3 linked regions of the Bombyx mori genome follow. The protein of the gene in region 3 interacts with the protein of the main gene of each other region in a biochemical or structural test. Links are inferred from orthologs where the notes say so. Each region holds a gene or a part of one and is shown on either strand. Other genes may lie near its edges. The genes, in order: tubulin-specific chaperone D; retinal rod rhodopsin-sensitive cGMP 3',5'-cyclic phosphodiesterase subunit delta; ADP-ribosylation factor-like protein 2.

The links.
Region 1: the proteins of ADP-ribosylation factor-like protein 2 (region 3) and tubulin-specific chaperone D form a complex in vitro, tested with the Homo sapiens proteins (2 studies listed by BioGRID and IntAct). The link is inferred for Bombyx mori from reciprocal best matches to the Homo sapiens genes ARL2 and TBCD.
Region 2: the proteins of ADP-ribosylation factor-like protein 2 (region 3) and retinal rod rhodopsin-sensitive cGMP 3',5'-cyclic phosphodiesterase subunit delta are reported together in a solved structure, tested with the Homo sapiens proteins (2 studies listed by BioGRID and IntAct, with this or other methods). The link is inferred for Bombyx mori from reciprocal best matches to the Homo sapiens genes ARL2 and PDE6D.

Annotation. Positions count from the first base shown.
Region 1 is NC_085115.1:7,802,774-7,808,316, forward strand, and holds the start of tubulin-specific chaperone D, read right to left. Parts: upstream 3,771-5,543; 5' UTR 3,614-3,770; coding exon 3,254-3,613; intron 3,173-3,253; coding exon 3,013-3,172; intron 2,507-3,012; coding exon 2,383-2,506; intron 2,121-2,382; coding exon 1,870-2,120; intron 1-1,869.
Region 2 is NC_085119.1:5,231,892-5,237,560, reverse strand, and holds the start of retinal rod rhodopsin-sensitive cGMP 3',5'-cyclic phosphodiesterase subunit delta, read right to left. Parts: upstream 3,224-5,669; 5' UTR 3,150-3,223; coding exon 3,079-3,149; exon of another isoform or gene 2,729-3,078; intron 2,580-2,728; coding exon 2,548-2,579; intron 1,971-2,547; coding exon 1,819-1,970; intron 570-1,818; coding exon 433-569; intron 1-432. Other genes in the region: ubiquitin-protein ligase E3A, read left to right, coding at 4,470-4,504, 4,756-4,939. UniProt on the Homo sapiens protein: Promotes the release of prenylated target proteins from cellular membranes. Modulates the activity of prenylated or palmitoylated Ras family members by regulating their subcellular location.
Region 3 is NC_085131.1:275,399-278,994, forward strand, and holds the end of ADP-ribosylation factor-like protein 2, read left to right. Parts: intron 1-33; coding exon 34-232; intron 233-1,229; coding exon 1,230-1,364; 3' UTR 1,365-2,304; downstream 2,305-3,596. Other genes in the region: pinin, read right to left, coding at 3,552-3,596. UniProt on the Homo sapiens protein: Small GTP-binding protein which cycles between an inactive GDP-bound and an active GTP-bound form, and the rate of cycling is regulated by guanine nucleotide exchange factors (GEF) and GTPase-activating proteins (GAP).

The sequences.
Region 1 (5,543 bases), on a different chromosome or scaffold from region 3:
AGATGTGATTACTTCGGATTTGGACTCAGCAAGAGAGCTACTGCTTATAAGCAAATAGGCTTTGATAGAGCCCCAGGTCAAAGTAATTATAAACAGAAAACTGAAACAGAGTTTGATGATTCATCTATTTTCATGGTCAGTCTAGTTCCTATAAGGCTTCAGAAATTTGATGGAACAGTTGTTTGGGAAAACGATCTACCCTAATCAACTTTTTATCGCCGTCCAATAATGTTTAAATTTACAAAAGAAACGCAGTCAACAGTGGCAATTATAAAAGCTAGTATAACAGAAGAAATAGAAAGACTTCAGCCATCAAAAATCAAACAAGTTGAAGTGAATCATCAATTACACTTAACGGTGATAGACGGCAAAATAACCTCATATTTGTCAGAAACATTTTCTGCTGTCTGTGATATTTGCAAAGCAAAACTGTCAGGGCTTTTTGGAGACACTTGCTTGTCAAAGAGAAAATAATGAAGAAATATTCCAGTATGCGGTTTACTTATAGATGTTGTCAAGCAAGAAGTAGGAACAACCAATTATGGCAATACTGCCAGAAGATTTTTTAGGGATGCAGAAGGAACAGCCCGCATAACAGGAATACGTAAAGATTGAATAGAGTGGTTTCACGTGATTCTTCAGACTGTTGCATCTGGAGAGCGCGTGGACCTTTCCAATTTTTCCGAATTTTGTAGATATACTGCAGAATTGTATGTTAATTTATATCCCTGGTATTATATGCCTTTCAGTATCCATAAATTGTTGGCTCATGGCGGTGATATACAATAATGAAGAACTTTGGTGCCATTCGAATAGATAAGCTCTCGGAAGAGGCAGCGGAAGCTCTCAATAAAGATTTTCGAAATATACAGAGAGTTGTTCTTCTAGAAAAATAAGTAGAACGTCGACTAATGAGGATATTTTACACAATCTTCTTTTGTCTTCTGGCCCAAAAATCGAATGGTGAAACAAAATATATAAAACTTAGAGCGATTGCTTAATTAGAGACCTACTAAATGTATTGTTGTTAGGTATTCTGTAATTATGGGTATCATTACGTGCTTTTACTTACTATCCATATCAAATTTAACTTAAAAGCACTTACGAAAAAAATATATAAAGGTTTTTATTCCATGTATTTATTCATTTTTTTCGATCCATTTATTTGGCAGAGTTGCTACTTTATGCACATGTTCATAGCATCAAATGATAGTAGACTAGACAAGGTGTAAGGAAAATAAAGTTTCAAAGCGGGACCTTGCGGTACTTAGCAGGAATTTAATATAATGTGACCCGCTCCATACAAAAAAATCACAAAACACATTTTTCTGACCAAACTATAAAGTTTTTGTAATTTTTTCCCAAAACAATTATTATTGAGATTAACGAGCTCTATCTATCTACATAAAGAAAAATGTTAAAAAACAAAGTTGGTCCCTAAGTCACTAAAATCATAGTATCGACCCACCGTGCATCGTGCTGTTTCGCTACTCAATGGCGTGCTAGCCTATGCTCCGGAAATGGATATATTCCATGATGGTTTGCAACGATTTATTGTTGTTGTCAGGAATTACTTAAGCTAATTATTAATACCTTACAAATGTTTTGGTTTATACTGTTAATTTGTAAGTAGACTAATTAAATAAATAAATAAATCTAGATAAATGTGTATATATTGGCAATATCTGAAGAAGTGGAATGAAGTTCAGGGCCTTGATACAAAGATGGTTACTTAAGGCTCCAAGTATTGACTGTTTGTTCACCCAATCCCTCAAATACAAGACCAGACCATGCATAAGCAAAGGGTGGCAGATTCTAATTTTGAAATAATAAAAAAGCTATTTCTCTATAGAAATAGCCTATGCTTACCAATTCTTTGGACAATTTTAACTCCATATTTTCTAACAAGCATAGCATTATGATGCTTATAGTTTTGGTTCGTAACCCATTCAAGTAATTTAGGTGCATATGGTAGTAAATCATCTCTTTTCCCGTGCTTCAGAACAGCTGCAACAGCAGCTAAAACCCCGTAGTGTATAGTGTTCTCTTCATTTAAATTTGAATTCAGCTCACAGGCCCAATCAAAGAATGCACCCATATATAATTCTTTCACATCTGACCTGCAGGTTGTATATTTATATATTGAGATTTATATAAGGCAAGTTAAAATAAGCACCATTGGTACCAACTACATATATCTGTGGGCAGCAGGAGCCACTTCATTTCAGCAAAGTAAAGTCAATATTTCATCTTCAAAATTAAATACTATATGTATTGTATTTGTCATTAAACAAGTCATAGATTTGACTGGACCTCTAGTTAATCAGAATTTTTGTCATTTTATCATTGCCGAATTTCAATAATAATAAATAAAAGGTTTACCTTGTAAAAAATTTAGAGGCTAAATAAGCACTGGCTTCAGCACATGAATCTTTGCTAAGTGCATATGTTTTACAAATATTAAAGATTCTTTCCATGACTGTTAATTTTTTCGAAGTGCCTGCTTCTGAAAAACATGTGTTACTCATTTTGTAATCATGAATAAAACTATCACTTTTAAATTTCGAAAATTTTATGCCACTGAAAGTTTTAGATATTAAATTACAAAATTGCCAAAGCAATTTTTTCCATTTTGTTATTCTAAAAGAATGATTCTCAATTACTGCACTATGACAATTTTGTGGCCCACCTAATTCTTCTAGTTTATGTGCAGCCAAAATCATTACATTGTTTTACATTATCATTACATCATTATTTTACACAGTAAATAGCTTCTGAACTTTTAAAATCATTGTGTGCCACAGAAGAAGCAGTTGAGAATTACTATTCCAACACAAAAAAAAATAATGTTTGTCATTCTATAACACAAGACAGTCTCTTTATGAAATCATGTCACAACTACTGCTATTTTTATACATGAAAGACAGATTAACATTCAACCACTTATTATTCATTATTAAAATATCATAAGGTAGGTATGTATTGGTCATTGATAGATGTTCTATAACATACCTGGTTGTCCAGGAGCGAATCCATCTAGGCGACTCATATGAAATGGAATAATAACAACAATTGACAACCATAACAGTAAGACAAATCTGCTTCTCCATGTTTCCTTATCATCAGGATTTTGAGCTTCCAAAAATACCAATACAGTCAGCAAATCAGACACCTAAAAATTATACATTTCTCTTTAATAAAATCCATTGTTATGTCATGGACTCATATCAAACAATTTAGTTTACATACTAACTTCATGTGGAAGATGTCTAACAACCACCTTATAGCCTCGAACTCTTATGATTTGGTACATGTAATTAAAAGTTGCATGTTTCAGTTCGAAAGGAGAATCTTTATCTTTGATAAGTAACAAAAATTTCGATAGAATTTTGTCTAAATGTGGATCCAACAGATGTGGTTGTTCATAATACTGTTTAAGTATTGTGTAAAGTTTATCGTACTCCACTTCAAAAGCAGAGGTGTTATAAACATTTTTTACATTATCAATCATGTTCATCACATCCTCGACCTCTGAAAAGTATTCGAGTGCACATCCCAGCCCAATATTATCACATTCGTCATCCCGGTTAATCTCAGAGTCTAACCCCACCATTTTTTTTCTTTTATGTACTCTTTTCGCGAAAAAGGTTTGACTTCGTGAGTTATTATTAATGATTTGAATTACTAAGCACTAAATTTCGTAAATAAAGCTCATATCTTCAACTTTTAGGAATAAAAACAATAGTAGGTAGACACTGTAGACAGTTGACAAATTGACAAGTCACTAAGGGTGAGACCGATATATTAGTATTCATTAAGATATTCGTAATACAGCTTGTATTCGTGTATCGGTAATCCGTCGAATTCTGATATGCTAATATTCCGTATTCACTTTATTCATAATATTAGCCAACTCACATCGGTCGGGTTGTATCTATCACTCTGAAATATACTGGCATACGCCGTACGTGTCTCGCGGATATCTGTCTATCACATTCATAACAATACTGCATGCGCTAAGAGGAAGTGAAATAAACTATATTTTTACATATTGAGCAATGAAAATAAGTACATATCATTATGAGTTTATGGACTATTTTTTAATTCAACTTTTTACATGTCAAAGATGCTAGTGGGAATTTTTAAACGCATTACTTTTTAATGTTTGGACCTTCATTTCTTGATTCAACTAGAGATTCTACTCAAGGCAAAGTAGTACATTTTTACATTTATTGGAATAAAATCGGGGAGCTTTATTTTCATTACTTTAATTTTATTTTCTGTTGCCTTCGAATTAGTTGGTTTTAAAATGATGATTTGAAAAACGGAAGTAGGCAGTTGACATTGTTTACCAATTTCATAAATTAAAATATTTTTTACACAAAACGTAATACGGCCAGAACTAAATTAAGTGTTTTTACGTAATAAATTATGATGACAATATATTTTTGCGGTGGTATTTAATTATCTTCTAAGAACTTCTCAAATTATAAATAAATGTTTGATTTTTGAATCGAAATGACTTTCTAAACAAACAGTTCGGGGATTATAATATTATAACTGTTGTGTACCTACAAGCCACTTCAGTACCGTGTGAGAGGATTTTTTCAAAATCTGGTAAACTCATTTCTGACCGACGTACGAGTCTTTCGGTAGAAAAAGTAAAAAAGCTAATGTTTTTATGCACCAATAAGAAATAAATAATATTACTAACTTGTTGTTTATATTAATGTACAATATTGACCAAATTCTGATTTAATAATAATATTCATTTTAATGTACATAATATTACTTGTAAAATATTTAGTATGAAATCAAATTCCTAGATACAATATACTATTTATATTATTAATAACTAATTTATGTGTATTATCTATGATTATTAACTTATTTCACAAATACCGTATTAGGTTTAACTCGTTTACCCGTTTTATCGAAGTATAATACGATATGAGGATATTCACGTATTAGTTAAGGTATATTACATAATGAATATATTCGTATTCGCTAATATTGACAAATATCGGTATTAACCCATCTTTACAAGTCACTATGAACGTTTTAACAGTTTTGCCGAGTTTGGCGCATAGATCTTTAAAGTAGTTTTGCGTTAAAGGCTTATTACACTTGGCTGAATTTAGTCGACTGAATTCAGAAGCAAATTTAGAAGCTTCTGATTACACTGCTCTAAATTCAGTTACTGAATCAATTGTCAGTATAAACGCGTATAATCAATTTCTCAAAAAAAAAGGGGATATCGTTGAAGAAATATTGATTGCTGTGCGGAATGTTAGCAAATATTATGAGTGATTTAGAACCAGCAGACTTAAAAAATTATTTATAAATAGATTCGATCTCGTTTGACCTAATATTAAACCTTGTGACACCATTTATTCAAAAGCAGGATACTATCCTACGATAGTCTATTACCTATATATCTATTATATGATTATTGTCATATGGTATAATCTGGCACATTAAATAAAGGCGACCGAAATTAATACTTTTTATTCGGAAGCAAAAAACAAACTAAAATGTCCTTA
Region 2 (5,669 bases), on a different chromosome or scaffold from region 3:
TAATTTTACGCAACCAACTCATGTTCTCAGGTCTCGGAGTGGTAGTATTAACATTTAGTTTGAGGTTATTTGGGGCTCTGGTAAACAAGCAACATGATAAATGCAGTGTACCTAGCCTAATGGGTGCCGCACTTTTTATCTTACAATAAGTATGTACTAAATAAATGCAAAACTTTCGATTAATTAGTAGTGTAGATAGGCTGTACTATGATTCCGCTCAGGTAAATATCACCACTCATATTTCTACAGAAAAGCTCCCATATCTGTCGATATTATACAATATGTAACAGACATAGGTCACATGTTTTCAGGTTAGTCACCACAAGCACTTCATAGTGTATTTGGGTTTCAGTATCACCTAAATGTGAGCTGTAGCCTCATCTGCCCATCTATACTAATTTATATTGAAATTTTATATACTATCAAACTTACTTGAGCACATTGGCCGGCATCATTTGCGATTCAGGCGCTGACTCTATAACGGATTGCCAAGTGTTCGTTGAGTTCGGGATCACATAACCAAAATCGAAAAACCACTCTTCTAAACATCTCCCTTTGAAGAGTACTTTCTATAAAAAGAAACATTTAGTTTTTTTTAGTGTTCAAATCAGTTATATATTTTCTATTGCTGTAGGTGTGAGTAGCTCAAAATCCATGTGTTATTAATGAAGTTAGTACCGAATTACCAAATAATAAAATGTTTATCTATGTAAAAATTATATTTTATATCTAATTAGATTGGTAATGTTATATTTAATTGTAAGTGTACTACCAGTTAAATGCAGGATTGGATAGTTTAAATTCTATAATTCTGTGAACATATTAATTCAAGTCAATTAAAATAAACTAGATGAATGAATTATTTTTGAAATAATATGATATAAATATGGAGCAAAGCTTGGATTCAGACAGTTCTAAGTTGTCACATCTGTGGCCAATTATACTGATAGATGCTGATGGTGATGTTATTTTAACAAGCAAACATTTCACACTATACAGTCTAAGCCAGAAATTTCTCCCATGTTCTGGATACCAGAAACATACATATAAGACAGGAAGATGTATACTCAATACTCAGATTCGAATATCAGTTTGATAAATATAATTCCACCTAAATCAAAACTATCATGACACTTTTTCTTATTCTTATTCTTGCCTTTATACAATGATGACCTTTTTTCCATTCAGGTCTATCATACATCATATTTACCCATACACACCCTTTTCACTCATATGGACTTGGAGGGAATGTGTGAAAGGGGTTCACACATTCCCTCCAAGTCTATTTATGACGTCCCCTCCTTTAAGCATCTACTGAACACTAATCAACACTGTCTAGTCTATCTAACCTACAACATACTGTTTTTAGTATTTCTGACTCATCGGCTACATAAATAATGTTAAATGATGCTTGTAGTTGGAAACTAATTCTACTTTAATTGCTTACTATCTTAACACTAGCGACCCGCCCTCGCTTCTCTTCGGAAACATTAAATTTTATTATTGACTGATAGGCCAAGCCAGCCATGTAGCGCGCGGTACGACAATAACTGCGGGAGACGCCGCGGGGCGAAGCTAGTGTAAAAAAAGTTGTCTAAGTTACTCCTTATATCATCAGCTACCTATTAGTGAAAGTCTCATCAAAATTGGTCCAGCCGTTCCAGAGATTAGCCGGAACAAACAGACAGACAAAAAAAAATTATAAAAAATTTTATTTTGGTATATGTACCGTATATATATTCATATGAATGTAGTAAAAAGCTGTTATTTCAATACTACAAACAGACACTCTAATTTTATTTATATGTATAGATGTACCTGTTCTAATCTAAATCTATCCATGGATTCTATTGAGCTGAAGTTCATTTCACGAGACACTACTCTGCACTTGAGAATTCTTTTGGGTACTCTTGCTTCGTGTTCCGCATCTGGACTTGACATGTCCTCATTATGTTGCCAAAGAATTTTTCCTGAAAAAGAATTATTAATAAAATAAATATAAATGTGCAATAGGGGAAAAATTATAACATTGCTGTTACTTAAGTATCTAAAAGTAGTTTGATTTTTATTTAAGAAACTTCATAAAATGAGAAAAAAAAATTGCCACGCTTTGCTCGCCCGCGATATGTTATTACAGTTTTGAGTATTATTATTATGTGTTGAGTATGTATATTTTATACAACAATCATCAGCAGTCTGGTGAAGCTACTTGTAGGATTTTTAAATACTAGAAAACATTTAATAAATCTTGCTCCTGGAGTGGTCTCATAGACATCCCAATGTAAAAACAATTAACCACCTTGGACCCAAGATTAGTCATTTATTTATTTATTTTAATTTTTCATTCACATCAACTATAGCATCATATAACTTTTAATTATATTCTGTTGAGTATATTTAAAAAAACAAACAATGATATACACAATCAGTAACTGACTTGTTTATCTTTGGAAATTGCATATCTAATTTACAGGCAAAACAAATTCTACTACTGATCTTAATTTTAATATATTTCAAACGTTTTTTTTTCAATGACTAGATCTTTACCTGTGTCAGCATCACGAAGATTCATCCAATTACTGACGTTGCAATGTTAAAAAATTATTGACAATTGTTAAGTAAAACACATTGAAATGATGAATCTATTTATTTTTAACGCTGTTTATAATCAATTAGGGATCACATGTTAAATACATCAATTGAGGATGTATTATTTTTACATTTTCAGGTACATTTTCAAACTTTAATTGTGGGACTATTGTGGGAAACAACAGCATAATCGTGGGAAGAAATTCATTCCAAAAGTGATGCACGGTACAAATGCTTAGGTACTGAATTACTATGGAACAGCATTATGTTTGCAGACGATGGGCCTAATAATGCAAAAATACTTTTTAAAAGAATAGGCAGGACTTGGTTTAAAGTCTCTCGACAGTCGGGTAATCATCCAAAAAGCAAAAAAAGGTGCCCTGCTAGACGTAACGCCACGACTTACTCGTCAACTATTCGATTTTAAAGGATCTCAACTCACAATGGCATTAAGGGCAATATAAGAAAAAGAACATATGTAAAGGATACATTTGAAATCCCTTCAGAATAGTCTCCACACGATCATTTTTATCTCGTTCAGTTGTTAGAACGTCAGTCATATTTGCGAAAATAAAAGTTCAATTCCAATTTTATATGATTATGTTTTTGATTGCTGATTTTCTTAACAGCGAACTGAACTGTGTTTATTTTTCTGTCTAACAAAATACTCTAAACAATTAAGTGTTTATTCTATGACTCTAAATTCAATTACGAACACAATATTGTTCACATTCACATTGAAAAATGAAAACCACTTTTTCTGGGGTTTTTTTTGCAAGCTCCATAAATTAAGTCTATGGTCTTTTTTTATGACCTGGTAACATAGACCTTTAGGTTGTTTTTGGCGGGAACGCGAGGAGTGAAGTTGTGTGATTTGTTTTATTTTATCTATTTAGTGTTTCTTCAGGTTTAAATGTGTAATAACGGTGGTTTATTAACTGTTTGATATCTGTGAAAGTTCACAAATGTGGGAAAACGAAACAAAGCCACTGGACATAGCTTCTCGGGATCCTCTATAGAGATTAGTATTATTATTAACTCCATGGGATCCACCAATTAACGTCATCATATGACATATGACATAACATCATATGAATAGAATGTAAATAGAATACAAATAGAATGTAATGAAATAAATGAGTTCAAAATCACTGCGGTCTTAATGGGACAACTTATTTTCCATAGTACGAATATTTTGGTTTTTAGATTATTAATTATTTATTGTAATTAGTGTGGTTTATTTATTGTTTTGATATTTTCTCTGATAATTAAGTAATATCAATGAAGTTACGACTGTCATGTATGTTATTTATATTATCGTAATAAAAACATCATCAAAGACCAAAGTATGGGACATCAACATTGCGGCTGCTATGGTCAATTTTTTTGAGAAATGCTCAGTAACTAATATTTTAATCTGTGAACTACTACAGAGCATTTTCCAGAGTCTCAGACTATAAATTTCAAATTTTAAATTTATTTTACAGTAATTCACAAATGTCGATTCAGTCAAACAGGCTTTTTATATGACAGCTTCAAAACGATCTTGTGCACATCAATATCAAATCGACTAAACCACAAAATCGAATCAACGATTGTGCACTTTCTTTGCCAAAAGATACAGTAGCCAATGGCCGTAACAAAAAAAAGAAAATTTCACAAAAATCTCAATTTGTAATTTTGTACATAGGTACCTACATAAAACACAATAATAGCCAATAGGTAAAATTATATGTTGTACTATGTAAATGTTGTTTGTTTAGTCCAAGAGGTGAACACAAAAAATATTTCTAAAATTTGTACCCTGCTAATGTTTACGTTATCACCGTATTTATGTAACTGGCCGTTTGAAATCACTACAGGATTATTAAGAATTTTCTATGAACCCGAAAAGCGAGTCTGTCGAAGCTTCGAGGTATGTATCTGTTTTATTATTTCACTATATTATTAATATTTAAAAATTCACATCACGTTGACCTTTAAGATTACCAAAATATATCTAAATTTTATTGTATTTGTTTCGTGCAGAAACAAAATGTTGATAGGGGTTATGAAGCATTACTTGCTATTTTAGTACCTTCCTTTAAGCAAAAATAAAGTGTTGTTTGAAAATATATTTGTTACGTTTTGTAATAAATATATGCATTACTATTGTTTATCATTCAGGGGGAGCGAAGCATCATCATCATCGATAAATTCAACCCCTGACATTGTTGAAGACCAGCTAACATCAGGAAATATTATGAAGCGAGCCGCAGCCAAGCAGTTAATTGAAAAATATTTTTATCAACTGCTAGATGGTTGTGGCAATGTTAACTGTGATAACAGATATTGTGCATCAAGTGGGGCGGTAAGTAATGAATATATATTTTTTTGAAATTAAACTAACCACCGATTTGGTGAATATATTCAAATATTGTATTCAGATTTCTAGGTATAAACACTATTGTTAAAACAGGCTGTATGGAAACACGAAAGTAGGAATACACCAATCGACTGCCCTAAAATAAAAATTGTATTGTAAATACCAAATACACTATTCATTTGCAAATCTAAGCATAATTTATTTATTTTATAAGTACTTATTGATAGTAAGTACTATAGGAAGTTCATGTTTTGTCAATAGTAAAAATCATTAATACATTTTAAAATAAAACTAACAAAATTATTGAACATAGATCAATGTAGAGCTGAATATAAATTTTGTTTCACTAAAATCTGATAACACTTGAAATTGGATAGATTAGATAGAGTTTTGTAATTGACATATTCCGTAAATTTAAATGCTTGTTTTATAAAAAGTGATTACTTGGGTTCATAGTATACATATATTGTATTTCACAAACTTATAAACTGTTACAATTCTGGCTGGTCATTGAATACTCAGCTTTATTGTTACAGTCCAACAATCCAATTTCACTATGTAATCTCAAGAATATGAATTTGAATAGATATATCAAAATCCATTTCATAATATATATATAACAAATACCTTATCATGTAATTGATAATTAAAGTACCAATATTTTCTGGGATCCTGATGAATTTCTAACGTCAGATATTGAAATGATTAAAAATGA
Region 3 (3,596 bases):
TGTTGCTGTGGGTTGTTAATATGTAGTTGACAGATCATACTGGAAGAACTACTTCGAGAGTACGGATGGAGTAGCGTGGGTGGTGGACGCGGCGGACGGGGCGCGACTGTCGGCGTGCGCGGCAGAACTCCGCGCGCTGCTCACGGAGGAGCGTCTGGCGGCCGCCACGCTGCTCGTGCTCGCCAACAAGTGCGACCTACCCGGAGCACTCTCCTTGCAACAAATACGAGAGGTCATTATTACACATATTCACATGGTTATGTAACAAAGATTTTATTTACAAAAACACTTTTCTAGTAGATACAAATACCTTAATTTCATCCATATTTGCCAATAAAATAAAAACAATTGTTTTAAAGTTTTAAGAGATTTGAGAAATGACACACACTCACGAACTACGTTATCTGGACGTGGTGCAAGAATTTGTGTACTTGGGGTCATTAATATCCAGTGACGGTGATTGTGACAGGGAGGTGGTCAGGAGGGCCCAGATGTCAAAATCAGCCGTGAAGCGATTGGAGACGATTTGGAGAAATCGCAGCATAAACAAAAAAACTAAGATAAAGCTCATGAGAACCCTTATCTTCTATATCACAGAAGCATAAGCATAAGCGTACAAGAATATGGTTCTTGTACGCTTCTGAGACGTGGCTCCACGTACCCTCAAGGCTCGTACCCGATCGAGAATTGACGCATGGGCGTATCATAGACGGAGCGCCGAACAAATGTGTCAATTCTCTCGGAGCTAAACGTCAAGACCCGTCTATCTACGATCTGTATGCAGCGTCTCCTCAAGTACTTCGGACACGTAGCCAGACGAAATCCTGACAACTTGGAAAAACTAATAGTTGTAGGTCACATGGAAGGAAAGAGAAGTCGAGGAAGATTGCCAACCAGGGGGACAGACATTGTCAAGGAGGCCACAAACACCAGCGTCCCGGGCGCCATTAAGCAGGCCGAATGCAAGCAACATTGGAGGAAGCTAGTGCAAAAACTGGACCAAGGTGGTCACGACCCTCAATAATGAGGAAGCGACAAAGAAGAAGAAAAATGATGCTCTGATCCTTTCGTCACTATTTTCCATTGCCATCACTGGTTATTCTATATGATCTCATTCCTTAATGCTAAACAGTATTTAAGTCTATTCATGTTGGTTAGCAGATTTTAAGGTTGCTTTTTTATGAATAAACAGAAATTAGTTTACATAACAAAAAACATTTCGTTTTCAGGCTCTAGATCTCGACAGCATAAAATCTCATCACTGGCGCATCGTGAGGTGCTCTGCAGTCACCGGAGAGAACCTTTTAGAAGGAATCGACTGGATGTTAGACGATATTGCGTCGAGAATATTCACTCTAGACTGAATTTATTCTATTTTCTTTATAAAGCACTATATCACAAGATAAATTGTGACGTCATAGTAATAATTTAAAAAAATCATAAGAAATTTACAACTATTTAGAAATAACAGCTCATTCTAACAACACTTATTCAACACTAAATATTACTTAGTTTTTATTTCACACATTTATTTAACATAATCCATTGAAAAAAATTACCTTTCGAAAATGCTGTACATTCAAGTAAGTTTTATATGTATCGTTAATTTTTTATGATTGAAATGTCAATCTTGTGAATTCTAAAATCCTGCATGGTAAATTTACGATATCAAAGAAGAAAATTTAAAGGATAAAATAATTTATCATTATAGTATTATAGCATTTTCATTAAAATATTAAAATAGTTTGTATTGATAGTATTCCATGTTCATTAGAAAGTGTAGTGTCCTATGTATTTTTAAAGTAAAGGTAACCCTCCTATAACACGGTAGATACATTCCTACAAAGTCCCGTGTTGTGCGCAACCCTGTTACTGTTATATGAGACCAGAAGCCAGTACAAAAAGAGTAATTTTTCTGAATGAAACATCTCATATAGATGAGATGTTACAATGTTACATGTAAAATACAGGTATACCCGATTTTTTTTTCCTTTAATGCATAGAAAAATAGCAAAAATTTCGTTTATTCCGATATACTGTGTGTTCATAGTGCATAATGTAATTTTCTAAATAATTTTAAACAAATCAACATTATCCTGCTGGAGAAGTACTGTGTTACTAATAAGGGATTTGGGATTTTTCCTTTAGTTTTATAGTGAAACCGTGTTTTTATAGGAGGGTTACCTGTAGTTAAAGGTCTACACACACATTTTCAAAATGTAATTAGGTTTACAAAATGCAGATTTAATAAATTTACATATTAACTGTGATGCTTTTTAAAAATAAATACATGTAATGACAAAATTCTTATTGTAATATTTTTACTGTTTATCCTTGCAGCTGGAAGCCCTTACGGAAGGCAGGTGGTGCTCCCTACCTTGCAACATAACGGTTAGGAATTTGGTAACTGGAGAGGGTAATAAGGACTTGTAACGAAATAATAGCAGTATCTCCAGGACAGTCTAGAACCTCGGATTTACATTGAACATAAAAGAAGAGTAGATAACAATTGTTCTAAATCTATATTATACATAAGGACATTACTAGTTAACAATTTTCTCCAGGCTGAACCACGTAACCTCACCTACTGCCTGTTGCTGCCAAAGCATTCATACAATCCGATTTGAAAGCTAGGGCAGCCTTTACCTATTATTCATAAACGTTTGTTAAACAAAAGAAAGATAATAATAATAATATTGAAAGGCCTAATTTAGGTTTAAAGCACAAGAACATTAAGAACTCCTAATTAAGTGTTATAAAGAACAATAAAAAACGTACCTAGTAGTTCTTTACTTGACTTTACTTATTTATTGCTTAGATGGATGGACGAGCTCACAGTCCTGGTATTAAGTGGTTACTGGAGCCCATAGACAACTACAACGTAAATGCGCCACCCACCTTGAGATATAAGTTCTAAGGTCTCAGTATAGTTACAACGGCTGCCCCACCCTTCAAACCGAAACGCATTACTGCTTCACGGCAGAAATAGGCAGGGCGGTGGTACCTACCCGTGCGGACTCACGTGAGGTCCTACCACCAGTAATTATAATTTTGCGGGTTTGATTTTTATTATACAATGTTATTCCTTTAACGTGGAAGTCAATCGTGAACATTTGTTAAGTACGTATTTCATTAGAAAAATTGGTACCCGCCGGCGGGATTCGAACACCGGTGCATCGTTAGATACGAATGCACCGGACGTTTTATCATTTAGGCCACGACGACTGCTATCAGCTATACTTACTTATTTATTAAGAAAATAATGAAAAACCATTTTAATACGAATAAACTTTTAATATTTTCTCTTGTCTATTTGTAAAATTTATCAACTTTGCAGATTTATTCCTATATTACGCCTCGACATGACCGACTAATGTTCGCTGGATATTACCCAGTGTATGTACCTTCAAAATGACTTTCCATAAGCTGCTGTACGCTTGTAAGAAAAATCTGGAAATACCGTGATAAAAGTAGACCTTTATCACAGAACTTGTGTTCTTCAAGTTCCTACTCTGTTGATAATATTACCAGTCATGTCGATGTAAAGTCTACTAAGATTGATTAATAACTTCTTCTGTTGTTTCGGTGGAAACTTC